3 linked regions of the Oryctolagus cuniculus genome follow. The protein of the gene in region 1 interacts with the protein of each later gene in a pairwise test. Links are inferred from orthologs where the notes say so. Each region holds a gene or a part of one and is shown in the gene's direction. Other genes may lie near its edges. The genes, in order: MARCHF2, FURIN and LDLRAD1.

What was found.
Region 2: the proteins of MARCHF2 (region 1) and FURIN interact in a protein complementation assay, tested with the Homo sapiens proteins (2 studies listed by BioGRID). The link is inferred for Oryctolagus cuniculus from reciprocal best matches to the Homo sapiens genes MARCHF2 and FURIN.
Region 3: the proteins of MARCHF2 (region 1) and LDLRAD1 interact in binary tests that used the Homo sapiens proteins (3 or more experiments, as listed by UniProt). The two-hybrid records come from large-scale screens. The link is inferred for Oryctolagus cuniculus from reciprocal best matches to the Homo sapiens genes MARCHF2 and LDLRAD1.

Annotation. Positions count from the first base shown.
Region 1 is NW_027208201.1:4,469,396-4,479,797, forward strand, and holds part of MARCHF2 (E3 ubiquitin-protein ligase MARCHF2), read left to right. Parts: intron 1-4,814; coding exon 4,815-5,010; intron 5,011-6,396; coding exon 6,397-6,630; intron 6,631-9,912; coding exon 9,913-10,071; 3' UTR 10,072-10,402. UniProt on the Homo sapiens protein: E3 ubiquitin-protein ligase that may mediate ubiquitination of TFRC and CD86, and promote their subsequent endocytosis and sorting to lysosomes via multivesicular bodies.
Region 2 is NC_091443.1:100,383,094-100,386,693, reverse strand, and holds the start of FURIN (furin), read left to right. Parts: upstream 1-1,478; 5' UTR 1,479-1,631; coding exon 1,632-1,808; intron 1,809-2,007; coding exon 2,008-2,106; intron 2,107-2,205; coding exon 2,206-2,301; intron 2,302-2,559; coding exon 2,560-2,688; intron 2,689-2,794; coding exon 2,795-2,871; intron 2,872-3,100; coding exon 3,101-3,189; intron 3,190-3,570; coding exon 3,571-3,600. UniProt on the Homo sapiens protein: Ubiquitous endoprotease within constitutive secretory pathways capable of cleavage at the RX(K/R)R consensus motif. Mediates processing of TGFB1, an essential step in TGF-beta-1 activation.
Region 3 is NC_091438.1:118,976,431-118,986,862, forward strand, and holds the start of LDLRAD1 (low-density lipoprotein receptor class A domain-containing protein 1), read left to right. Parts: upstream 1-4,220; 5' UTR 4,221-6,144; coding exon 6,145-6,165; intron 6,166-6,660; coding exon 6,661-6,715; intron 6,716-9,266; coding exon 9,267-9,395; intron 9,396-10,432.

The DNA of each region.
Region 1 (10,402 bases):
GACTAGAACCTGGTGTGCTGGCGCTGTAGGCAGAGGATTAGCCTCTTGAGCCACGGCACCGGCCAACTTGGGCATCCTTAACTGCAAGGCTAATTCACTGCATTTAAAAAAATTTTTTTTAATTGTTTTTGAAGATTTATTTTATTTATTTGAAAGACATACTTACAGAGAGAGGAAGATACAAGGATGGGAGAGAGAGAGAGAGAGAGAGAGAGCTGTTGCTCCCTACAGATCTGCCCAGTGTCTTAGCCTCCAAGAAGACTCGTGTGAGCCCAGATGATATCCGGTGTTCTTCTGGACATCCTCTGAGGTGCTGGCTCATGTGTCTGCATCTCCGTCAGACCCCCTTGAAGGCCGAAAGGGGTCTGTGCTGGTTGAAGGAGGTTGGGACATAGGAGTTCCCTGGTGGACCCAGGGGCCTCCCAGCCAGGGCTGTGAGGGCTGGGAGGTGGGGAGGAGGCCGTGGTGGCTGTAACTGGGGTCTCTCTGTTTGGGATTCCTGAGTAGCTGTGTGTCTGGGAAGCCCTGAGTGAGTTATTTGTCCCCACTTTGCCCCCTCTTTGAGATCTGGGAAAACAAAAGCCCAGATGGAAGCCGACACCTGTATGGGTTGCTGAGCGGAGCAAAGGCTGCGCCCTGGGCCCCTGCCAGCCTTTCCTGCAGCCCTCAGGGACCCAGGCCAGCAGCAGGCAGCAGAGTGGCCCCTATGCGAGTCCTGCTGTTTTCTCTCCTGTCCTCGGCCAATTTGTGCCATTTCTCTGGGACCGTGGCTGGGGTTCTGTCCGATCAGGGTGCAGCTGGTGGGACCATGGGCTCTCCTGGGTCTGTCCCTCAGCCTCTTTGCCCACAGCTCAGCGGCCCAAGGGTCTCCTTGCTTCTTTTCCTTTCTTTGGGTACATCTCGCCCCAAACCTCCCCAGGCTAGAGGGCAGATCAGAAGAGCTCTGCATGGGGTGAATGCTGCCATGTATCTGGAGGTAACTTCCGGGGTTGGGGTCTTCCTTCCAGCCTCCCCAGGGGCAAATAGGGCTCCTCCCACCACTGCCAGGAGCTGGGTTTGGCAGAGGCCACACAGGCTGACCTCTAACTCCTAGTGAGTCTCTGCCATCTGAGAGGCCCAGGAATAGGCCTCAGGGGCACCAGTTGTACCCAGCACCTTGGCTGGTTCCACTATCATAAGAGTCAAGGGCAGGAATTGTGGCACAGCAGGCTAAGCTGCCAGTAGGGAAGTCCACATCCCACATCCCACATCAGAGTGCCTGGGATCGAGTCCTGTCTTGCTTCCAATCCAGCTCCCTGCTGATGTACCTGGGAGGCAGCAGTGATGGCCCACGTATGTGGGAGACACGGTTGGAGTTCCTGGGTCCTGGCTTTGGCCTGGCCCAGCCACTGGCTGTTGCATGCATTTGGGGAGTGAACCAGCAGATGGGTTATCTTTCTCTTTCTATCTCTCTCTGTCGCTCTACCTTTCAAATAAGCAAAAATGAATAAATAAGCATTAAAAAAACACCCCAAATCTTCCATTTGCTCAAAGGAGACTGATTCCTCAGGGCACACAGCAGAGACTGTGCTAGGTGGAGAATTCGGGGCTCTTAAAGCTGCGGAGGTTGAAGAAGAAGGCGCAGGAGGCATCTCCCAGGCGCAGGACAGTCCTCCAAGGCCCAGGCTCGGGTCAGCCTCTGGGGACTCCGAGCCTCTGGCTCTCTGCCCAGCCCTTTCGGAGTATTTCCTGGTGTTCTCCCTGCTGTCCTCTTTCCTGAGCTCTGATTGCTCATGTTGTCTCTTCTTTCTGGAACATTCTCTGGGCAGCCTGCAGGGCGGGGATGGGAGGGTCTGAGCACATCCTGCCCATACCCTCTCTGCGCTGATGTCCCGCCCATGTCCCTTGCACTGTGGCCCCAGCCTGAGCTCCTGAGCAATACACATTGTTCGTGTGCTTTGCCTGCTGGGGTGCTCAGGCCCTGGGGGGCAGACTTTCTGGGTCACAGCCCCAGAAAGTCCCTCCCCAGGACTTCAGCTTCATCACCTGTTAAATGGGAGCAAATGAATAGGAGGTCTTCAAAAGGTCCATGGAAAAATAAATATTACAAAAAAATCCATGCATAGATTTCAAAATTTTCTGCATCAAAATAAACATATCTTTTAAATATTTATTTTTATCTACTCGAAAGGCAGAGCGATAGAGACAGATGGCGAGAGCTCTTCTATTGTCCGAGAAAAGAATTTCAGGGGTCAGTGTTATGGCATAGCTAGTGAGGCTGCCACTTCAACATCAACATCCCTTATGGGCGCCAGCGCGTGTCTTGACCACTCTATTTCTGCTCCAGCTCCCTGCTAATGGCCTGGGAGGGCAGCGGATGATGGCCCAAGTGCTTGGGCCCTGTACCCACGTGGGAGACCCAGAGGAAGATTTTAGTTCCTGGCTTGTGACCATTTGGGGAGTGAACCAGTGGATGGAAGATATGTCTCTCTCTGTGACTCTTGACTTTCAGATACATAAATCAATGTTAAAAAAAAAGAAAACAAACAAACAAACAAAAAAACAGAATTTCAGACGTGAGACAGAGAGGAGTAGTAAGTGACCAGGGGCATCTCAGCAAAGAACTGAGCTAGAGAGAGAGGTTTGGGTGCACAGGTTTCCTCCCCCCCCCCCCCCGCCTCCTTCTGGGATGCTGCTGGTTGGAGGGCTTCCTGGGTGTAGATGCGTGCAGTTCCTTTTGGGACTTCATCAGCACAGTGTTCTGGGATGGCACAGGCCCCCAGGGGAGGGCTGGGACCCACCTAAGGGGGTTCTGACCAAGGGAAGACTGCCGAGGTGCAGCTGCCAGTCCACTCCCAAGGCTGCTCCTACGTTTCTTCCCTCGCCTGACCACACAAAAATTCCTATTTTTGTCCTCCGGCCCCTCTCACACACATAGGCTGAAGTCTATTTTGCTACCTAACTGTTTACTCCCCAAATGCTTACAACAGCCATGGCTGGGTCACGCCAAAGCCAGGAGCCAGCAACTCCTTCTGAAATCTCCCACGTGGCTGGCAGGGACCCAGCTGCTTGAGCCATTACCTGCCGCCTCCCAGGATGTATGTTAGCAGGAAGCTGGAGTCCAGACTCAAACCAGGCGCTCTGCCAGCGGATGTGGTCATCCCAAACAGTGGCTTAACTGCTGCATCCAATACCTCCAAAATTATCTTTACAAAAGAGATTTATTTTATGTGTTTGAATGGCAGAGTGCCAGAGAGAGAAGGAGAGACAGAAAGAGAGAGAGAGAGAGAGAGAGAGAGAGAGAGAGAGAGAGAGAGATCTTCCATCCACTGGTCCACTCCCCAGATGGCTGCAACGGCCAATGCTGGGCCAGGCCAAAGCCAGGAGCCAGGGACTGCATCTGGGTCTCCCACATGGATGCAGGGGCCCAAGGACTTGGGCCATCTTCCACTGCTTTCCCAGAGGCATTAGCCAGGGGCTGGATGGGAAGTGGAACAGCCGGGACTCAAACCAGCATTCATATGGGATGCCAGCATCTCAGGCAATGGTTTAATCCCCTTGCACCACAACATCGCCCTAAACTTATCTTCTAATTCCATTGTTCTGTGACTTTTCTGAGGTCCCATTCTAGGAACCAGTGCATCCAAAGGTGGCTCCTAAGTGCCCAGTACACAGTAAATGCTCAATAAATATTAGGCCTTGCTTTTGCCTTTTTTAATTTTTCCCTTCCTGTCTCTGAATTTGCTCCTGCAGAGCTCTCCAGAAGGGCTCTTCCTCAAGGTTCTTGTCACTCCATTTCCCTGAGTGGTTTCCGGAGCAGGGAATTCCTTTCCTGTTAACTTTTGTGTATGTGTGTTAGGATCAGGGTCTGAGGTTAGAAGGAGACCGGGCATGGCTCTCTTGACATCATGGGAGAAATTAGCAGCCCAGGGCCAGGACAAAACAGAGAGAGGTCACCAGGCCCTCCCCACCCCTACAGCAGGAGAGTCCCAGACAGGGACAGAAAACTCTGAGAGGAAGCCAACATTATCTGGAGAACAGCTCTCCCGCTTGCCCTCCTCTGTGTGTTCCCAGCATAACTGTTTTCTGGGCAGACATGCTCGGAGAGCAATGACTCACGTGCTGGATAACCTCACAGCCCACTGCGGCCACTCCCCCTGCGTCTGCAGCTGCCCCAGGAAGGACTCAACATCCCCAGAGACTGGGGCGGGGGGCTGGCGGCTTTCCTGAGGCAGCTTTCTGCAGATGCAGAACCAGCGAGCAGTTCTCCCTGGAAGCACAGTTTTCTCGGCCAGCATGGCCTTCAGGTGTGGCTGGATTCATATGGGATGTTGCCACGGCAGTAGTTTAACCTACTACGCTACAACGCTAGCCCCAGTTCCTGTTGGTTCTGATTGTACCACAGGCCTTTTCCTGAGTTGGTCCCCGTGACATCAGGGGTGTGTGATGCTCTGATTGGTCAGGCCCAAGGTTGTCAGAGGTCATCGGTTCTGCCCTAGCCCTTGAACACTGAGCCAAGAGTGGGATGGTTTGCACAGGACAATTGGAGGTGGTTTTGCAGGAAAGAGATAACGAGGACGTTGGGCAGGCAGGTATAAGAGATGATCATCCTGGGCCTAGAAGGGTGCTGCAGGGGCCCTGGGGAGGGAACATATCATTCTGCTTGTGGGAGTCCCAAAGGCTGGGGTATTTGGAGCTGGGCATTGTAGGGTGAGCAGGAGTTCGCAACATAGTGGCAACATGGTCGTAACAGAGATCCTGAGACTCAGTGGATAGTGGAGCGGGTGCAGGTGGGAGGTCCGATGGTGGCTCACAGCTCCTGTCTCTGTGTCCAGCGACTGTCCCTTCTGCCGGATCTGCCATGAGGGGGCGAATGGGGAGAGCCTACTGTCTCCGTGCGGCTGCACGGGCACGCTGGGCGCCGTGCACAAGAGCTGCCTGGAGAAGTGGCTTTCCTCGTCCAACACCAGCTACTGCGAGCTGTGCCACACGGAATTTGCAGTAGAGAAGCGGCCTCGGCCCCTCACAGAGGTAAACCTGGGGAGCCCAAGGTTGGGGTGGGCAGAGGGGAGGGGGGCGAGGGGGAGTACAGGGGGCAGGGGGAAAGGTGTCAGGCAAGGCCTGGGTAGGAGACCTGAGGGGTGAATGGGAGCCAGCCATGCAGAGAAGCTGAGGATGGGCAGCCTGGCAGATGACACAGCACGTGCAAAGGCCCTGAGGTCTGGGAGAGCTCTGTGTTCTTGACAAAGCCTGAATGGCTTTGAGCAAATGATCAAGTTAAAAGAGAGGAGGAGAGCACCCCTGAAGGGGGTAGGAGCAGTCACACCTGGAGTTTGGACTTTAGCCCAAGTATGATGATCAGGGTGGGGACAGGGCATCCGCAGGTGGCCACTGGGCCCCTGAGGCACCAGGCTTCTCCCTGCCCAGCCTGGCCTAGGGTGACTCAGAACTGTATGGCGGATGTCATTGGTTTGTGACAAGTATGGGGAGCAGAGTCCATCCCTGAGGCTGGGGAATGCTGCCCCATAGTAGACAGGGCCACAGTGAAGAGCCCCGGGGACCGTGGGCCCCTGAGTAAGCCTCTGATCCACCCAGGAGCCCAGCTCTGGGGAGAATTGTGGGAGCGAGACCCAGGCCCTGCCCGCACCCCTTCCCACCCTGCACTTGGTCCTTGCTCTCCAACTGCATGGGCCTCCTGCCTACTGCACCTTATCTTGGCCTCCCACTCCTGCCTCAGGGCCTTTGCACCTGCTATTCTGCAGCCTGGAGCACCGTTCCCTCCTCCCTTCTTCATCAGCTCTTTCTGCTCATTCCATTCTCCTTGACATTACCTCCTCCAGCTTGTTTTCCCCTCCCCGACCCCCCACCCCTTTTCCTTTGCCCCCCAGCATGAGAGAGCAGGGACCCTTTCTGTCCTATCCACTAGGACTCTGTGAGCCAGGCTCATTTCCGTTGCCCATCATCTGCTTTGTGGATTTTTTTTTTTTAATTTTGGAACCTCTGCACGTACAGAATGAGCTATGTTGTGGGGTCAGGAGGAATTCAAGTCTGAAGATGAGATGCTGTGTTTCATGTACACCTTCTGGCATAGACAGGTTGACAGTCACTTTATACATTTTTTTTTCCATGACGGTGCAGGAAGCAAAGTTCCGCAGTGTGGCATTTTCCACTTGTTCAAGATCTGGAAGCATTTTGGACCTCAGCTTTTTATGTTAGGGATGCTATAATATGTGCTAGCTATGTGGATTTGTGTCGATGAATTCCTCTGTGCCTCAGTTTGCCTCACCTGTAAAAGGGGGGGCACATGTCCCAGCACCCAGTAGGGCCTGGCTCATCGAGGCTCAGTAAGCGTTTGGAAGAAGGAAAGGGTGGAAGGAGACCCAGGCCTGGAGGCACTGCCCTTCCACTCCCCTGTAGCCTGCTGCGCTTCTCTCCCTGCAGTGGCTGAAGGACCCAGGACCACGGACAGAGAAGCGGACGCTATGCTGCGACATGGTGTGCTTCCTGTTCATCACGCCGCTGGCCGCCATCTCGGGCTGGCTATGCCTGCGCGGGGCCCAGGACCATCTCCGGCTGCATAGCCGGCTGGAGGCCGTGGGGCTCATCGCCCTCACCATCGCCCTCTTCACCATCTACGTCCTCTGGACCCTGGTGAGTCACCGCCGGGCCGGGGGTGTGGTCAGTGACTTTGGTGGCTGTCCCTTGCGTGTGGCCTCAGCCTGTGTTTTGTGAAGCTGCAGGTTCTGAGCCTGGCCCTGGTGCAGGGAAGCCCTGAGCCAGGCCTCAGCCTTCTGCTCTGAGTGTACATGGTTCTGATCTCCAGTCCTGAGTGCAGGGTCCACTAAGAGAGAGAGGCAGAGAGAAGGAAAAGCAACAGAAAGAAAGAAACCGGAAAAGGATGAGATGGAGGGAGATAAGAAATTAGAGGGCATATACTTAGCCCAGCATGTAAAATGCCCCTTTAGATGCCCACACCCCACAGTGGAGCACTCGGGTTCAGCACCTGACTCTGGCTCCTGGCTCCGGCTTCCTGCTCACGTGCACTCTGGGAGGCAGCAGTGGTGGCTCCAGTACTTGGGTTATTGCTGCCCTCAGGGGAAACCAGGATTGAGCTCTTGGCTCCCAGCTTTGGCCCAGCCCCACCTTAGCATCTGGGGAGTAAACCAGCAGATGGGGGCTCTCTTTGTCTTTCAAAAATAATAACGAAAAATTTTTTAAAAAAAGAAATTGAGCGAGAGAGGTAGATACCAAGAAATGGACTAGAAAAAAAAAAACCAAAAAACCCAAGACAAACAAACAAACAAAAAAGAAATGGACTAGGAGAGCAAGAAGAGAGAGACTGAGACCAAAAGAAGAGGTGACAAGCAAGATGTGTGTGTGTGTGTGTGTGTGAGAGAGAGAGAGAGAGAGAGAGAGATAGAGAGAGAGAGGGAGAGAGATTTTGATTAAGACATTGAAAATAGGAAGAGAAACAAGAGCCACAGAGGTTGATTAAAGACTTGGAGGGTAGAGAGATTTTGATTAGGAAACCAAGTGGGGCTGGCACTGTGGTGGAGAAGGATAAGCCTCCGCCTGCCACACTGGCATCCCATATGGGTGCCGGGTCGAGTCCTGGCTGCTCCTTTTCTGATCCAGCTCCCTGCAAATGGCTGGAAAAACAGCAAAGGATAGACCAAGTCCTTGGACCCCTGCATCCATGTGGGAGACCTGGAAGAAGCTCCTGGCTCCTGGCTCCTGGCTTTAGCCAGGCCCAGCCCTGGCCATTGAGGCCATTTAGGAAGTGAACCAGCGGATGGAAGACCTCTCTCTCTCTCTCTCTCTCTCTCTCTCTCTCTCTCTCTCTTTATTTCTGCCTTTCAAGTAAATAAATACAGCTTTAAAAAAGAAAACTGAATGACAGCGAGAAAGAGAGAGAGAGAGACAGACAGACCGACCAAAAGAGTGAGAAAGGAAGCAATTGAGGCTGAAAGAGATGCACACAATGACAGTGACAGTGAGAGTGACTGAGGTGGGTGGTGTTTGTTGTTCCAGGTTCATTGTAGGCATTAGAACTGTGGCTCAGAGAGAAAAAGTGCCCCTGTTTTCCACCTGTTGGGGGAATGTATCTGACAGTGCCTCTGACAGCACATGTGTGTGTGTGTATGTGTTTATTTTTTTGAGGTAGAACTTAGAATAGAATTTATTTGCAAAACTGGCACAAACCTGGATTCTAGAATAACTTGGGAAGTTTCGCATGTGTGTTTTAATATACAGAGGATGGAGCCACAAGTACTATTTTGCAGCCTGCTTGTTTTCACTTTGCTGGTGTCATTTGAAAAAACAAAACAAAACACCAGGCAGCCGCCCAACAGTCATTCATTCGTCTGGGTGTCCATATTTATTTTACCAATCCTTTCTGATAGACACTAGGATTCTTTCCAATGTATTATTTTCCCCAACTCCCACCTCCCCCTGTGTTTTTTTGGCCATGATGAACAGTCTTCGGGGGCTTGCCTGTGTCATTGTTTCTTAGGAATGCTTGGTCAAGGGATAGGAGCCACTGAGGTTATTTTTCTTTATTTATTTGTTAAAGAACACTCTATTTGGCTCATGAGAAATTGGGTAGAAAGCAGAGAGTTCCCCTGGATGGTCTCCTGCCGTCACAGCCTCTGCCACCATCAAACCTCTCCCCATCCCCCCGAGTGGTTACATTTGTTACAGCAGTGAGCCTTCAAGTACAGATTATTGTTACCTAGCGTCCACAGCTCCCATTACACTTCCTCCTCCATCCTGGGGCGCTGGATCCCCTGGGTTTGGGCAAGTGTGTGAGATACCCGTCCAGCATCGCTGCATCACACAGAGTGGCTCCATGCTCTCGGGATCCTCTGTGCTCCACCTCTTCGTCCCTTGTTCCCCTAACCCCTGACAACCACTGGTCTTTTACTGGCTCCATCATTTTTTTTTTCCAAAGATTTATTTATTTATTTGAAAGAGTTACAAAAGTTAGAGAGGGAGAGAACTTCCATCTGCTGGCTCACTCCCTAAGTGGCTGCAATGGAGCCACTTAGCCAGGAGCTTCTTCCAGGTCTCCCAGGTAGATGGCAGGGGCCCAAGCACTTGGGCCATCCTCTGCCGCTTTTCCCAGATGCATTAGCAGGAAGTCAGAATCAGAAGGAAGCCTGGACTTGAATCTGGACCTTCTGATACAGGATGTGGGCATCCAAAATAGTCTTTTTTAAAGATTTATTTATTTATTTGAAAGTCAGAGTTACACGGGAGAAGGAGAGGCATAGAGAGAGAGAGAGAGAGAGGTCTTCCATCCGCTGGTTCACTCCCCAATTGGCTGCCATGGCTGGAGCTGTGCTGTGCCAATCCAAAGCCGAGGGCCAGGAGCTTCTTCTGGGTCTCCCATGCAGGTGCAGGGGCCCAAGGACTTGGGCCATCCTCCACTGCTTTCCCATAGCAGAGAGTTGTATCAGAAGTGGAGCAGCTGGCACTGGAACCGGCGCCCATATGGGGTGCCGGCACTGCAGGCGGCAGCTTTACCTGCTATGCCACAGCGCTGGCCCCCCAAATAGAGTCTTTAAGTATCACCAAATGCCACCCCCGGACACCATTTCTTTTTTAGGGCTGAGTAATATTCCATTGTCTGGCTGTACCACTATCTGTTTACCTCCTGAGGGGCATCTTGGTGGCTTCCAAGTTTAGGCAGTGGTGTGAACTGACAGTTAACCCCTGCCAAGAGGTCGAATGGCTGCATTCCCACCAGGAGATAGAGAGCAAGTTGGCGGTGGTGGAGTGGGGGGAGTGGCCTCTCACGGTGCATGTACGCGGGCTCAGTGCGTGCAGGACGCGGCCGCATACTGGCTCTGCTTCTGGAAGCAGGAGCCCTGCCCTAGTTTGGACCCCCGTGCCTGCCCGCGCCTTCCCACCCACTGCAGTGCTGCCCCGCAGGTCTCCTTCCGCTACCACTGCCAGCTCTACTCCGAGTGGAGAAGGACCCACCAGCACGTGCGCTTGAAGATACGGGACGCAGATGGCCCCGAGGGCTCTCAGCATTCGGCGCTGGCAGCCGGACTCCTGAAGAAGGTGGCAGAGGAGACGCCCGTGTGAGCGTCGGGCTGGCGGGAGCCCTACTGCTGCCGAGGGGCTGGGGCGACCAGCCATGCCCAGGCGCCTGGGAGGACGGAGACTGCCTGACCCTTCCCCGACGGCTGGAATGCTTCTTAGGCCACCAGACGCCCAGTGGAGCCTCTTCTGTGATCCTGTGTGAATATATTTTCAGGTCTTTCTTTTTTCTTTTTTCTTTTTCTTTTTGCATATTGTTGTACACGACTAGGACAAATGGATGTGCTCCTGAGCTGTGCACAGAACAAGCACCCTGATCTCATTCCTTGGCCCACTGGGTGTCTGCTGGGCCAGCAGCTGTGGCCGGTGGTGTCAA
Region 2 (3,600 bases), on another chromosome or scaffold:
CCATGTCCTCTGTTAGTTGAGAGGTGTGGGGTCCCGTGGCTCCCAGGGCCGGGGCAGTGGGCTGTCCAGTCTTTGCTCAGACAGGCTTTAACCAGCCATCCCCAGGGCTGTGGCTCCCAGGCCAGCCAGGAAGCCCTGTGGACTCTGCCCGTGGGTGCCTGGAGGAGCTGTGCTGTGGATATCTCCTGCCATCAGCTGTCAGGTTATTTTGGTATAAACTGAAAATACTCTAGGAACTGCGTGTGGCATCCCCCCCCCCCCCCCGCCTGCAGGGTGGGAGTGCCGCAGCCAGGGAGGCCCTTGGAGAAGGGGGGGTGGGGGTGGGGGTGGGATGGGGGTTCCCCTGGCGAGCCTGCTCTCCCAGCTCCCCCGCCTGTCCGGCAGAGCTGCTTAGAAGTGGTACCCTGGGGAGCCAACTCTCCCCTAGCCCAGGGGCTTGGTTTTTGGGGACAGTTATGTGGCCCTGTGGACAGAGGTCCCGGCGTCTGTTTGCCGAAGGAGGGAAAACAACAGGCGGACTATTGATTCAGCCTCACCTTGGCTCTCCTGGCTCAGCAGCCACTGTTTGCCCTGGCTGCCCGGGCTCGGGTTACGCAAGGCTGGTGGGCGTGGAGCACGCAAGGGGGCAGTCAGGGGGCCCCCAGGCCCCTGCGTTCCCCAGGAAACAGTAGAAAGAGCTTGGGCGCCCGGCTCTGCCAGCGGCCGCCGTCTGAGTTGCCACAGGAGGTGCAGCTTCTGTGACCCTCCTGTACTCAGAGCTGGGGGGGCCCCAAGCCCCATCCCAGCCAGGGTCGCTCGCACTTCCCTCCCGGGGGCTGTGGTCTTTGCCAGTAACGCCCCCCGGTGGCTGAATCTGTTCTGTTGAACCAGGCACCCCAGTGAGTTGTGCAAATGATGTTTCTTTAAAATAACTTTAAAACAGCGATGTTTTCTTCCTTTATGGAAAGCCCCTGGGGGATGTGGAGGGCATACAATGCACAGGGAAGACCGTAGCAGGTCCTCGGAATTTCAGTCGCCATCCCGCAGGGACCATTGTGAACGTTTTAGCGTGTGTCCCCCCCAGATTTTGTTTTGGGTGCTGTAGAAATGTGCGTCGTTCACCTGGTATTTAAAAACCAGGTGAGATGCTGTGTCCGTCCTGCTCGGTCGCGTGTCCCGTTTTCCTTGGTGACGGCAAGGACTCGTTTGTCATTTCTGATTTTGAGTGACTGGAGCCTTGATGTGCTTCGTCCCATTCTCAGTGTCACACTTGCTGGGGGTGGGGCGCCATGGGGAATCCATCTGTCCCTACTTCCGGCTGACAAGGGGGCGGGTCCAAACTTCTTCTGGGACATTCTCCTTTTTTGGCCCCCTTCCTCCAGCGCCCCTTCCAGGCCTGGGCTGAGCCGAGGGGTGGGGAGGGCATCTTCCCTCCCTCCATGCCAGGGAGGGGCTGACTTCCCCCCCTTCCCTCTCTCGTTCCTTCCAGAGCCTGCAGCCGCCCTCCTCCCATCCTAGCCCTGCCCACCTCGGCCCCATGCCCCCACCAGTCAGCCCCGGGCCACAGGCAGCGAGCAGGCACGGGGAAGCAGAGGCCTTGTGACCAGGCCGAGGAGACGGGTGCTCCGGGGTCCCAGCCACCTGCCCCCTCCATGGAGCTGAGGCCCTGGTTGCTATGGGTGCTAGCCACAGCAGGAGCCCTGGTCCTGCTGGCAGCCAATGCCTGTAGCCAGAGGGTCTTCACCAACACGTGGGCCGTGCGCATCCCTGGGGGCCTGGCGGTGGCTGACGGTGTGGCGCGGAAGCATGGATTCCTCAACCTAGGCCAGGTGGGTGTTCCTCCAGGAACTGTCAGGCCGGTTTGCTGGGGCGTACGGGCAGCCAGTGGGGCGGGAGCCGTGGCTTTAGCAGCAGGTCCCTGCTGGTCCCCTGTGTGTGTTCTTGCTGAGCCGCTGTCCACCCCCGTCCCCCGCCTCCCCGGGGACTGACAGATGGAAAGCCCAGCTCAGTCTCCCTGCTCTCCTGCAGATCTTCGGCGACTATTACCACTTCTGGCACCGAGCAGTGACAAAGCGGTCGCTGTCGCCTCACCGCCTGCGGCACAGCCGGCTGCAGAGGGAGCCTCAAGTGAGTGTGGCCCTGATGCTTCCTGCCGCCTCCCTCCGCTTCCCTCTCGCTTCCTCCGCCCCCACCCACCCGTACTCTCTCTCCTTCCCTCCCACCCAGGTACAGTGGCTGGAGCAGCAGGTAGCAAAGCGACGGAGCAAACGGGATGTGTACCAGGAGCCCACGGACCCCAAGTTCCCCCAGCAGTGGTACCTGGTACGCTGCCTCTGTGGGTGCCGCTCCTCCGTCCGGGAGCTCCCGTGGGGAGCGTGAGGCCGACTTCGAGGCTCTGTCCGATTCTTTGGCTTTGCTGCTGCCGGGCAGTCTCTCCCCAGCCCATCCTGCTGAGCCTGGAGGTTGCCCCCCGCCCTGGGGTGGTGGAGAGATTTGGGGGTGATGAAGGGACACCCACGACAGCCCACCCTCGTCCGAGCAGCCACCTCCCCTAACGGCCGGGGGCGGGTGTCTCTGCAGTCTGGTGTCACTCAGCGGGACCTGAACGTGAAGGAGGCCTGGGCCCAGGGCTACACGGGGCACGGCATCGTGGTCTCCATCCTGGACGACGGCATTGAGAAGAACCACCCGGATTTGGCAGGCAATTATGTGAGGAGGCGGGGGAGGGAGGCGGTGGCGCAGTGATAGGCGGGCAGGGGCTGTCCCATTGCCAGTGTGGCCAGCGGGCTCCTGACCACAGCCTCGTGCTTCCCAGGATCCTGGGGCCAGTTTCGATGTCAATGACCAGGACCCTGACCCCCAGCCCCGGTACACACAGATGAACGATAATAGGTAAGAAGCTGAGGCGCCTGTCCTCAGCCTCCCCTCTTTCCCCGAGGGTGCAGGCGGGCCCCACCCAAGAGGCTGCAGGCTTTTTCCACGGGTTTGGTCGGAGTGGAGAGGCGGGGCCGTGCACACGTGCGGGGCGGTGGTCATGGTGCTGCCCTATGTGTGTGGTTTCTTCCTGCTCCTCTGGCTGCACCTGCTTACCCCACTTACACCGTGCTCTTGACCCTGGCAGGCACGGCACGCGGTGCGCAGGCGAAGTGGCTGCAGTGGCTAACAACGGTGTTTGCGGTGTGGGCGTGGCCTATAATGCCCGCATTGGAGGTGGGTGTGGCCTCTGCCAGGTGGGCGGACCCTTCCCGTAGGACCCTTCCCTGCCACTTCCCATCTGGCCCTGCCTGCCTTTCCCCGTGGTGGACACTTGTGACCTGGAAGACACTCTGAAGAGGGCTCTTGGGGACTCAGAGCTAGACAGGGGCTGGTGGCGGTGGGGGGGGAGGGTGGACACTTAGCGGCGTCTCCCCAAGTCCTCCGGGGGCAGGCTGCGGTGGCCGTGCTCCAGAAGCGCCCTGTAGTCCTGTCGTGTGGCCGGGGGCAGAGGCAGACAGGTTTCCCGGCATCCGCCTCGGCCCTCCCGGGCCGTCCCCCGGGTGCTCCTGGCAGCCAGACCCACGCAGCACCCTCTTCCCGCCCCTCCGCGGCCAGGGGTGCGCATGCTGGATGGCGAGGTGACGG
Region 3 (10,432 bases), on another chromosome or scaffold:
CTGCAGGGCCCAAGGACCTAGGCCATCCTCCACTGCCTTCCTGGGCCATAGCAGAGAGCTGGACTGGAAGAGGAGCAACTGGGACTAGTACCTGGCTCCCCAACAGGGACTAGAACCTGGGATGCCGGTGCCACGGGTGGAGGATTAGCCTAGTGAACTGCGGCGTTGGCCGTCTCGTTTCTTTTTGCTTCCCGTGTAAAATGTGCCTGAGACAGATACCTTCATTCCTTTTCAAAGTATTGATCCATTTTCACCAAATTATTTCCCTTGTTTGTAAGACAGTTCCTTACAATTGGAAACACCCAGTAGCAGACACTCTTATATCTGTCTCCTCCCTTTTAGTTTAGCATCACTAAACCAGACTGACAGTTTCTTTTCTTTTTTTTTTTTTTTTTTTTGACGGGCAGAGTTAGAGACAGAGAGAAAGGTCTTCCTTCCGTTGGTTCACTCCCCAAATGGCTGCTAAAGCTGGCGCGTTGCACTGATCCAAAGCCAGGAGTCAGGTGCTTCCTCCTGCTCTCCCTTGGGGGTGCAGGGCACAAGCACTTGGGCCATCCTCTACTGCCCTCCCGGGCCACAGCAGAGAGCTGGACTGGAAGAGGAGCAACCGGGACTAGAACCTGGGGTGCTGGCATCATAGGCAGAGGATTAGCCTAGTGAGCCTCGGTGCCAGCCAAGACTGACATTTTCAAAAAGACAAATTTCACTTTTTTTTTTTCAAAGATTCTTTTTTTTTTTTTTTTTTTTTGACAGGCAGAGTGGACAGTGAGAGAGAGAGACAGAGAGAAAGGTCTTCCTTTTGCCGTTGGTTCACCCTCCAATGGCCGCCGCGGCCGGCGCGCTGCGGCCGGCGCACCGCGCTGATCCGATGGCAGGAGCCAGGAGCCAGGTGCTTTTCCTGGTCTCCCATGGGGTGCAGGGCCCAAGCACCTGGGCCATCCTCCACTGCACTCCCGGGCCACAGCATTTATTTATTCAAAGAATTAGATCATTCCCCTAATGGCCACAGTGGCCAGGGCTGGGTGAAGTCAGAGCTAAGAGCTTCATTCGGGTCTCCCACATGGGTGCAGGGGCCCAAGTACTTGGGCCATCTTGCATTACTTTCCCAGACACATTAGCAGGGAGCTGGATTAGAAGTGGAGCAGCTGGGACTCAAACCTGTGCCCATATGGGATGCGGGCACTGTAGGTGGCAGCTTAATCTGCTACACCACAGCACTAGCCCCTGGGTTTCACTTTCCAAAAAACGAAAAAGAAAATTAACCCCCATAAGTATGCAACATAAAAATGTTTCTGATCTTGAAAATTCAATCAAAACAATAAAACAGCCTCCAGGCCACTCCTTAAAGTAGCAGTTGTGACTTGGGTGGGCCCAAATTATTGGCTCCTTGCTTCCACCAGGAAGAGACATCTGGAGAGTCTTCACTAGGCCAGTTCTCAACACCACAGGCCTCTGGTTCACACCTACCCCACTCCTGGAGTCCTTGCTTCAGGGTCCCTCAGCTGAGAGACACGCATGCAGACAATTAGAAAATAGTCATTACCACGATGAATGATCCTAGGCCTGGGTTCCAAATCTTTTAACAAAACTGTGTGGCACCTTTTATCTGATAAATTTTTTGGTAAATCAGAAGTTACTGGGGCTGGCACTGTGGCACAGTAGGTTAAAGCCTCAGCCTGCAGTGCCAGCCTCCCATATAGGTGCTGATTCTAGTCCCAGCTGCTCCTCTTCTGATCCAGCTCTCTGCTATGGCCTGGGAAGGAAGTAGAGGATGGCCCAAGTCCTTAGGTCCCTGCACCCGCGTGGGAGACCCGAAAGAAGCTCCTGGCTTCAGCTCTGGCCATTGCAGCCATTTGGGGAGCGAACCAGTGGATGGAAGACCTCTCTCTGTAACTCTTTCAAATTAAAAAAAAAAAAAAAAAAAAGGTTACCAGATTATCTGGTTTCAGTGTTGTCTCAGAAACAAGTGATGCATCAGTCTGCTATTGATCACATAAACATAAAACCTTGTTACTCTGAGTCATATTCAAGCCAAAAAGAAACAATCCACCATTTGTTATTTGCCTTCAACTTAGATAAATGAGTCATTTCTATGAAGATTTTTTTAATCCATAAATAGCTCCTTTGTAATTTTTGTGGACCGTTAAGTATCAAGACCACATATTGTGGGGCTGGCACTGTGCCTTAGTGGATTAAGACTCCACCTATGCTGCTGGCATCCCATATGGGCCAGGGTTCAAGACCTGGCTGCTCCACTTCCGTTCCAGCTCCTTGCTAATGGCCTGGGAAAAGCAGCAGAGGGTGGCCCAAATGCTTGGGCCCCTGCACCCACATGGGAGACGGATAGAGCTGGCTCCTGGCTTCAGCCTGGCCATTGCTGCCATTTGGGGAGTGAACTAGCAGATGGAAGACCGCTCTCTGTAACTCTCAAATGAATAAATACATCTTTAAAAAAAAAAAAAAGACCATATATTGGGAATCATGGATCTCGAGGTTTCTAGTTATTTGCACCACCACACGAAGGCCATTTCTGCCTGGAGACCCTAGTTTACCTGTTCAACAACCACTTGCCAACCCTGAGGGAAAGTAGGCTCCAATTGCTCAGAGTCCAATGAGAGGGACAACTACTGTGGTAAGTGCTATGGCAAGATGGGCACATAGGAGGAGCCTAAACTTCTGAAAGGAACAGCCAGGCTTAAACCTGGAGGCGGAGGCAAGCGGGGTGTAGGGAGCAGCGTTGGGGCAGTGGAGACGGGATGCATAAAGACTGAGGCCAGCGAGTCCAGGACTGCGCATGGTTCAGTTAGCTGAGCTACAGCCTACAAAAGCACCGTAATAGATGGGGCGAGATGCGTCAGGTAATAATGGGCTTTACTAGACCTGCGCTGGATTCTGAGTCCAGCAGAGAGGTGTTGGAAGGTTTTAAGCATGCTTCCGCCCCAGTGAAATCCACTTGCCCTCAAGTCCTGTCCTAGGGTCTGACTCCTGGGAGCCCTAAGTTGAAACGCACCCTTCGTCTAGTCTGTCTCCTAGGGAGTGGAAGCAGGCACTGAGGCCCGGGAAGGGGGGTTGCTTGCCCACGTGAGAGCCGGCTGCAGGGCCTGACCAAACCCCGTTTTCCTGGTGCGGGGCTCAGCTGTTTCTCTGTAGCTCCCCGCTTCCTGAGGGCTGCCCCTATGTCTGCCCTCCTCACCCTTGTTCCCAGGGAGTGGGCGTTTTATTTCCCAGTGCAAAAGAAACGGCTGGCCATAGGTGAGCAATCTAGGGGCATCAGAGGCAGGCTTCCAGGGGACCCCAGCCTAGAACCCCTGGGCTGGTTTCTGGAGGAGGACACCTCCCCTTCTCCCTTGGTCTGGGCTCTGGTCCAGAGTGAAACGCTTCTGGGACGATGGTCTTCCTAGCAGGGAGCTAGGCTGCTGGGGAGACTGCAAGTGGGTAGACAGATGGGTCGCTGGGGGGAGGCTGCTGCTGTGGTGCAGCAGGTTAGGCCACCGCCTGCAATGCCGGCATCCCATTGCAGCACCAACAGCAGTTCCCAGTCCTGGCTGCTCCATTTCCAGTCCAGCTCCCTGCTGATGCACCTGGGAAAACAGCAGAAGATGGCCCAAGTATTTGGGCCCCTGCACTCACTTAGGAGACCTGGAAAAAGCTCCTGGCTCCTGGCTTTGTCCTGGCCCACCCAGCCATGGTGGCTATTTGGGGAGTGAACTGGCAGAGGGAAAAGCTCTCTCTCTCTCTCACTCTCTCTCTCTTTCTCTCTTTCTCTGTCACTCTGCCTTTCAAATAAGCAAAATAAATCTTTTTTTTAATTTTAATTTTTTTTATTTTTGACAGGCAGAGTGGACAGTGAGAGAGAGAGACAGAGAGAAAGGTCTTCCTTTGCCGTTGGTTCACCCTCCAATGGCCGCTGTGGCTGGCGCGCTGCGGGCGGCGCACTGCGCTGATTCAATGGCAGGAGCCAGGTACTTATCCTGGTCTCCCATGGGGTGCAGGGCCCTAGGACTTGGGCCATCCTCCACTGCACTCTTGGGCCACAGCAGAGAGCAGGCCTGGAAGAGGGGCAACCGGGACAGAATCCGGCACCCCGACCAGGACTAGAACCTGGTGTGCCGGCGCCGCTAGGTGGAGGATTAGCCACGGCGCCGGCCGAAATAAATCTTTAGTAAGGGATCACTAGAGCCAACAACCTGCCCCTGCCTCATCCCCACCCCCAGCACTGTCTCAGAGAAAACTAGAATGCACTTTGCCATATTTTAATTTTATTTATTTATTTGAGAGGCAAAGAGACACATAGAGACAGACAGGAGAGATCTCCCATCTGCTGATTCATTCCCCAAATGCCTGTAACAGCTGAAACTGGACTGAGCTGAAACCAAGAGCCAGGAACTCCATCCCAGTCTCCCACGTGGGTGGCAGGACCTAAGCACTTGAGCCACCTCCACCTGCTGCCTCCCAAGGTGGGCACTAGTGGGAAGCTGGAAGGGAGTGGAGCTAGGACTCAAGACCAGGTACTCTGAGACGGGACGCAGGTGTCCTAACCACTAGGCCAACGCCTGCCCCGCCACGTTTCGTGTGCTTGTTTTGTTTTAGCAGTTTTAAGTGAAAGTTGTCTCTAAGATTACTTTACTCTGGCATCTTCCTGAGTGCTGCTTCCTCACATTTGCCCTTCCCCTGTCAGACTCGGTGAGACCTGGCTTTGCGCTCCAGGATCCTTTTACGTGCTGTGCAAAGAGCGTGCTTTCAAGCTGAGAGGCCGCCCACTGCCAGCGCCATCCCGGTGATTCCGCCAGGGCCACCTCTGCCACCTGTCCAGGTAAGAACAAAAGAGGCTGCCTCCTGGTGGCTCTGTGCCGCAGGGCAGGGGAGGGGTGGCTTCCTCCTGGGCCGGGTTCCTGAGAGGCTGCACCTGGGGACCTGTTTGACGTCCAGCGCTGGGCTCTGACCACTCCTGAGGACACTGTGCTCCCTGGGACCTGTGACACTCAGAGGTCGGAGGGGGTAGAAAGAAAAAAAAAGGATCTTTTTTGTGGTCTTTGTCCAGTTTCAAGCCAGCAGGAACCACCCTGTTGGATGACTGCCACAAGGACAGGTGTGCCTGTGGCCTCTCCCGCCGCACCTGTTCAGTGTGGATGGCAGATTTTTTCCAGTAGCCCCGGGCCATGCTGCCCATCTGCCGGCCCTCACGGTGTCCTCGCACCTCTCGCACTGCGCCTCCTTTCACACGGGCGTGGAGCACACCTTGAGCTTCTGTCTCAGCTCTCCCGGACGGGGGAGACTCGGCCTTCCTGCATTGCAATGCCTCCTTCAGCCACAGAAGGGTTGAGCTTCATCTCAGCCACAAATGGGAAAAGCCCCTGCCACATTTTTAAAGAAAATGATGAAAAATTACAGTTGCTTTATAATTTAGTGGGAAATGCATATTCTTTTTAAAAGATTTATTTATTTACTTGAAAGGCAGAGTATGTGTGTGTGAGAGAGAGAGAGACTGTCCATCCGCTGGTTCACTCCCCAAATGTCCCCCACAGCCAGAGCTGTGGTGATCCGAAGCCAGGAGCCTCCTCCGGGTCTCCCATGTGGGTACAGGAGCCCTAGGACTTGGGTCATCCTCTGCTGCTTTCCCAGGCCATAGCAGAGAGCTGGACTGGAAGTGGAGCAGCCAGGACTCAAACCGGTGCCCATGTGGGATGCCACAGGCGACCACTTTACCTACTATGCCAAAGCACCAGCCCTGAATTATCTATTTAATTAAATGACCCTTCTTATTGGCCACTGACACAGTGACCTGTGCCATGACTGGCTGCCTCTTCACACGCTGAGGGCTGCCGGCTCCCAGTCTCACCGCAGGCCCTGCAAAATCGCTGGGCTTAAGTCTCACCCCTCTCACCTGCTGTGTGACTTGGGCCAGTCTCCCTCTCCGAATCTCGGCTCTGCTTGCGGTCTGTAAGAGGGGAATGAGGATTGCAGCCTTGGCGTGTTGCTCTTGGACTGCAGAGTGGGGAGAGGCCTGGCGCATCAGGACCCTGCTCTCCTTTCCTCTGCCTGGGAGGGCGTGGCCAGGGCGAGGCCCCTCCTCCAGGCTGCCCTGGTGACAAGGGAGGGAACCTGCCCTGTATCCCTGGAGACTGGACGCTGAGAGCTGGAAACATGAACAAGGTCTTCCCCCAGGTAAGTGCGGCCCTGCGTAGCTCCTGATGCAGGAAGCAAACTCAGGTGAGGGCAGGAAAGGGGCCAGGTTAATACTGCACCTGCCCCAGCCACTGAGGTGAGTCAGCTCCCACCCTGCCCCAGGGGCTCACTCCCAGGTATCAGGCCCCACACGTGACACAACTGGACAGTTCAATGATGAACTGGGAGGAAGCCGGGGTGCAGGTGCACAGGGGCCAGGGGAGTGGATGATGTTAGGAGATCAGGGAAAGCCTCGCTGGGGAGCTGCCTGGGCAGGTTTGAGGGGCGGATTGTGGCAGGCAGGCAGTGGAAGAAATGGCGCTCCCAGCATGGGGCACGGGGGACAGGTGTGTAACTGTGACACAGTCAGGGTGACTTAGGGCGATTAGCACCCCGCGTTGGGAGGGTCCAGTGATTCCATCTGAAGCTGTCCGTGACCCCTGAGGCTGCTGACTCCCTTACCCAAGTACACCCCCTGCTCTGTTCTCTTGGCAGGGAGATGGCACTGGCAACGCTGCTGCTAGGACCAAAACACTCTCCAGAGGGGAAGGTAAAAGGCGGGCACTCCCCACGCCCAGGGGGGCTGCCTGAAGCTGGGCTGGGGGCTCTGCGGGAGCCCAGACCTCTGCCTCCCACTGTGGTGTCCTCTGCTCCCGGCGTCCCGGCCAGCCAGGTCCACAGTCACTTACTGAGCACCTACTAGCGCCGCCTATCGCTCAGGTGCTGACAGTGCACGCAGTACCCACCGGTAGCAGCAGTGGGTGACCTGGGCAGTTCTCTTTACCTCTGAGGGACGATGTGAGTCAGGATCACACGCTTCTTTAGCGCCTGCTAACACGGCAGACTCACTGTGTGGCTAGGACAGCACTCCGTACCTTCACTGATGGGGTGTCTCCCATGTGTTCCGTCTCGGCCCACGTTGCAGCAAGGGGAAAGAGCCCCGGAGAGATGACGCTGCCAGCCGCAAAGGATCAAGCCCCTACTGTGTACCTGGCACCACAGGGTCTTTTTCAACCCTCAGGGCCCCTCTGAGAGGGGGGCCCTGTTGTGGGCAGGAACAGCTGAAGCCATGAAGTTAGGCAACCAGGCCAAGGTCATAACGCTGGGAGGGAGCTTTGGGGGCCGGAGGGTGCAGGTCTCGAATTCCGAGGTAGGGCAGCACGGCCCTTCTGGTGGTAGCGCCCCAGTGCCCTTGTTGCTTCAGGCTGGTGTTTGTGGATTTCCAGGTGCGGGCTCGTGGTGGGGGTGGGTGTGGAGCAGAGGCCCTCCCCTCTAGCTCCAGCTCCAGCTCCAGGGAGAGGCTTGGCCACCGAGGGCGTCCAGCTCAGCAGTGCAATGTCTCGAGTCTCTCTTGTGACCACACCTTGCACACGGCTGGCCAGGCCACACAAGTATTGGAGGAGCGGCCTCTGCTGGCCCAGTGACACGTCGTCTCCCTGGTTACCTGAGTGAACCTGTGTTTGCCAACAGACCCGGGAGCCGCTGACCCGGGCTGCGGGAATCATCTGTTTTACTAACTTATCTTTAAAGATCTATGTATTCATTTGAAAGGCACAGAGAGACAGAGACAGAGAGGGAGATCTTCCCTGTAAATGGCCAGGGCTGGGCCAGACCAAAGCCCGGAGCGGGAACTCCATCCCGGTCTCCCACGTGGTGGCAGAGACCCAAGCAGTTGAGTCAGTATCCACTGCTTTCCCAGGCAGGGAGCTGGATCCGAAGCCAGGCAGCCGGGGCGTGACCGGGAGCACACAGGGGATGCAGCCTCGCGGACACAGCTTAGCCTGCTGTGCCAGATGCTCCGACTGAGATTCGTCTGCATCGCCCACTGTCTCCTCTCCCCGTGCACACCCATCCTGGGCTCCACCCACGCCAGGCCACTTCCTGTTCCCCGTCCCCCAATCCTGGCTGCATGCCACCCAACAGGCCGTTCCTCCTTCCACACCCTCACTGTGCCCTCCCCAACCTGCCCAGCCCCCCTACCCCGGCACCTGGCCCATGCTTCTTCGCTGCGCTGACACCTGGCGCTTGGGGCTGGCAGCACGTGGGCACGGGTCCACCTGGAGGCAGCTCCGGGGAACTAGGAGGGGTTTGAATGAAAATGACCCACGCGGATGCAAACTGGGGGCCTGCCCTTGTCTCCCTGACCTCTGGGGCAGCCTGTGCACTAAGCACTTACAAAGCACCTACTGTGTGCCCGCCTCTGGCCTGGACTCTGCTGTCACAGGCATCGGTGAGACCTGCTCCTGCCCCCTTGTCCGCGGGCCTGAGACCCGGACAGGACGTAGCTCACGCTCTCCCTCATCTGTGCCCGCCCCTTGCTCCTAAGGGCAAGGGCCACAGTGACGGCTACTTCTGTGCTCTCTGCAGAGCAGGGCGCCCAGTGGGTCCCCAGGGAAGCTTTCTTTCCTTGTTTTGCAAGCAAGGGAGAATTCAAGGAGCAAAGTACAGGCCTGCAAGAGCAGAGGCGGCCGCAGTCGCTGCTGTTCCACCGTGGTTAGAATGGAGCTCGGCACACGGCAGGTGCGCCTGGGCCACAGCTCCGTGCAGACCCCCTCCCACACCACGGACTCTCGGCAAATGCCGGGGTAGCTCCTGTGAGCCCCACTTCCCACCTGAGGAAACTGAGGCACACGGAAGTGAAGGGACTCCCCGCAGCCCCGCTGGAAGGCAGCCGGCAGCCTGGCGGGCTCCCAAGTGGACAAGCAGCCAGACGCGTGGAGAGGGCATGGGTTGTGGCTTCAGACAGGGACTCGCGTGCCAGCCCCGCAGGCAGTGATGTGGACATCCCCGCCGAGCTGCAGGTTCTTCATCAGTAACTTGAAGGACTTGGGGTTTCTGCCCTGTCTTAGGGGTTGGAGCCACATGTGCCTGCCCCTGCCTGTGTCCTGAGGAGGTGGATGGGAGGCTGGGGCGTGGAGCAGAGGCCCAGGCCACGGCCAGGCACCTGGCGAGGGGTGGCTCCGGACAGTGGCACAGAGCGGTGCAAAGGTGTCCCTGCCCCAGCCCATGCGAGGGGGAGGGGCGGCCGACAGGGGTCAGGTGCGGGGCTGGGGGACCCCAGGACCCCAGCCCTGGTGCCCATGCCTGTGTCTCCCTCACAGCAGACTGCAGCCCCCTCTGCTGCTCGCGCCGGGGAGCCTGCCTCTCGGCCTCTCTGCTGCTCCTGCTGGCCACTCTCGCCGCCCTCGTCGCGCTGGCCATCATCCTTGGACTCCCGCCACGCACGCCAGGTCTGGGGTCGGCGGCGGGAGGCGGGGGGGGGGGTGTCAGCAGGGGAGAGCCAAGGGGCCACAGGTGCAGGAGTCCTGAGCCCGCCAGACTTCTCCACGAAGTGACTTTGGACAGACTCCTGTACACCCACAAACACACGGGGGCGCTATAGAAAGTTCGCGGAAAGTGTGCATGATGAAAAAACCATGCATGGAGCTCAAAAAATATTTGCACCAAAATAAATGTATCTTTTACTTTTCCGCGAGTATTCTGAGGTCCCCTTGTGTGTGACTCTGAGCCTCCATTTGCATACCTGTGATGCGAGTTTATCGAGAGGCTCTGCCCTGGAGTCCTCCTTCAGGAAGCCTTCCTTGAGCCCCAGGTTGGATTAGGAGCCTTGTCTCCCCACACTTGCTCTCACCTTGCCCCAGTCCCCCTGGGAGGTCTCATCCACCTATGCACCTGTCTCCACCCCAGAGATCAGGGCCATGTCCAGTACATTCCAGCAACCTGGCCCCAGTGGCTACCAGCCATGACGTCCCTCTGAGTAGCACACTCAGACCAGGCTAGCGGGAGGGCTGAGTCTGGAGCAGCGGCTCTGGTCCAGTCTCAGAGGCAGGATGGCCCTTGGAGAAGCCACAGGGCACTGAGCATGAGGGGAAAGAGGGGAGTGGTTGGTGGAGGGAGTGTCAGGACAAGCCACTCAGGCACAGGGAACAGCATGCGAGCAGTTCCCGGGGATGGAGGAGGCGTGAGGACCAGCAGGGAAGGCGTGTGGACACCAGTGGCTGGGGCAGTGGGTGAGCTGGGAGCCCGGGGCCTCCAAGGCTGCCCTGGGGAGGGAGTTGTGGTCCAGGAGCCATGGAAGGGCGTAAGCTGGGGGCTAGGGTCACCTTCTCCTCTCTGAGTGATCATTTCATAGCCAGGCAGGGCAGGTGGAAGGGAAGGAGGTGGGGGAGGAGGTACCATTCACAGTCTGTCCCAGCCTGGGCGGGGTACGTGTGGGCTGCAGTCACACACCCACGTGCCTGTGTCTGCGTGTGTGTCTGTGCAACGA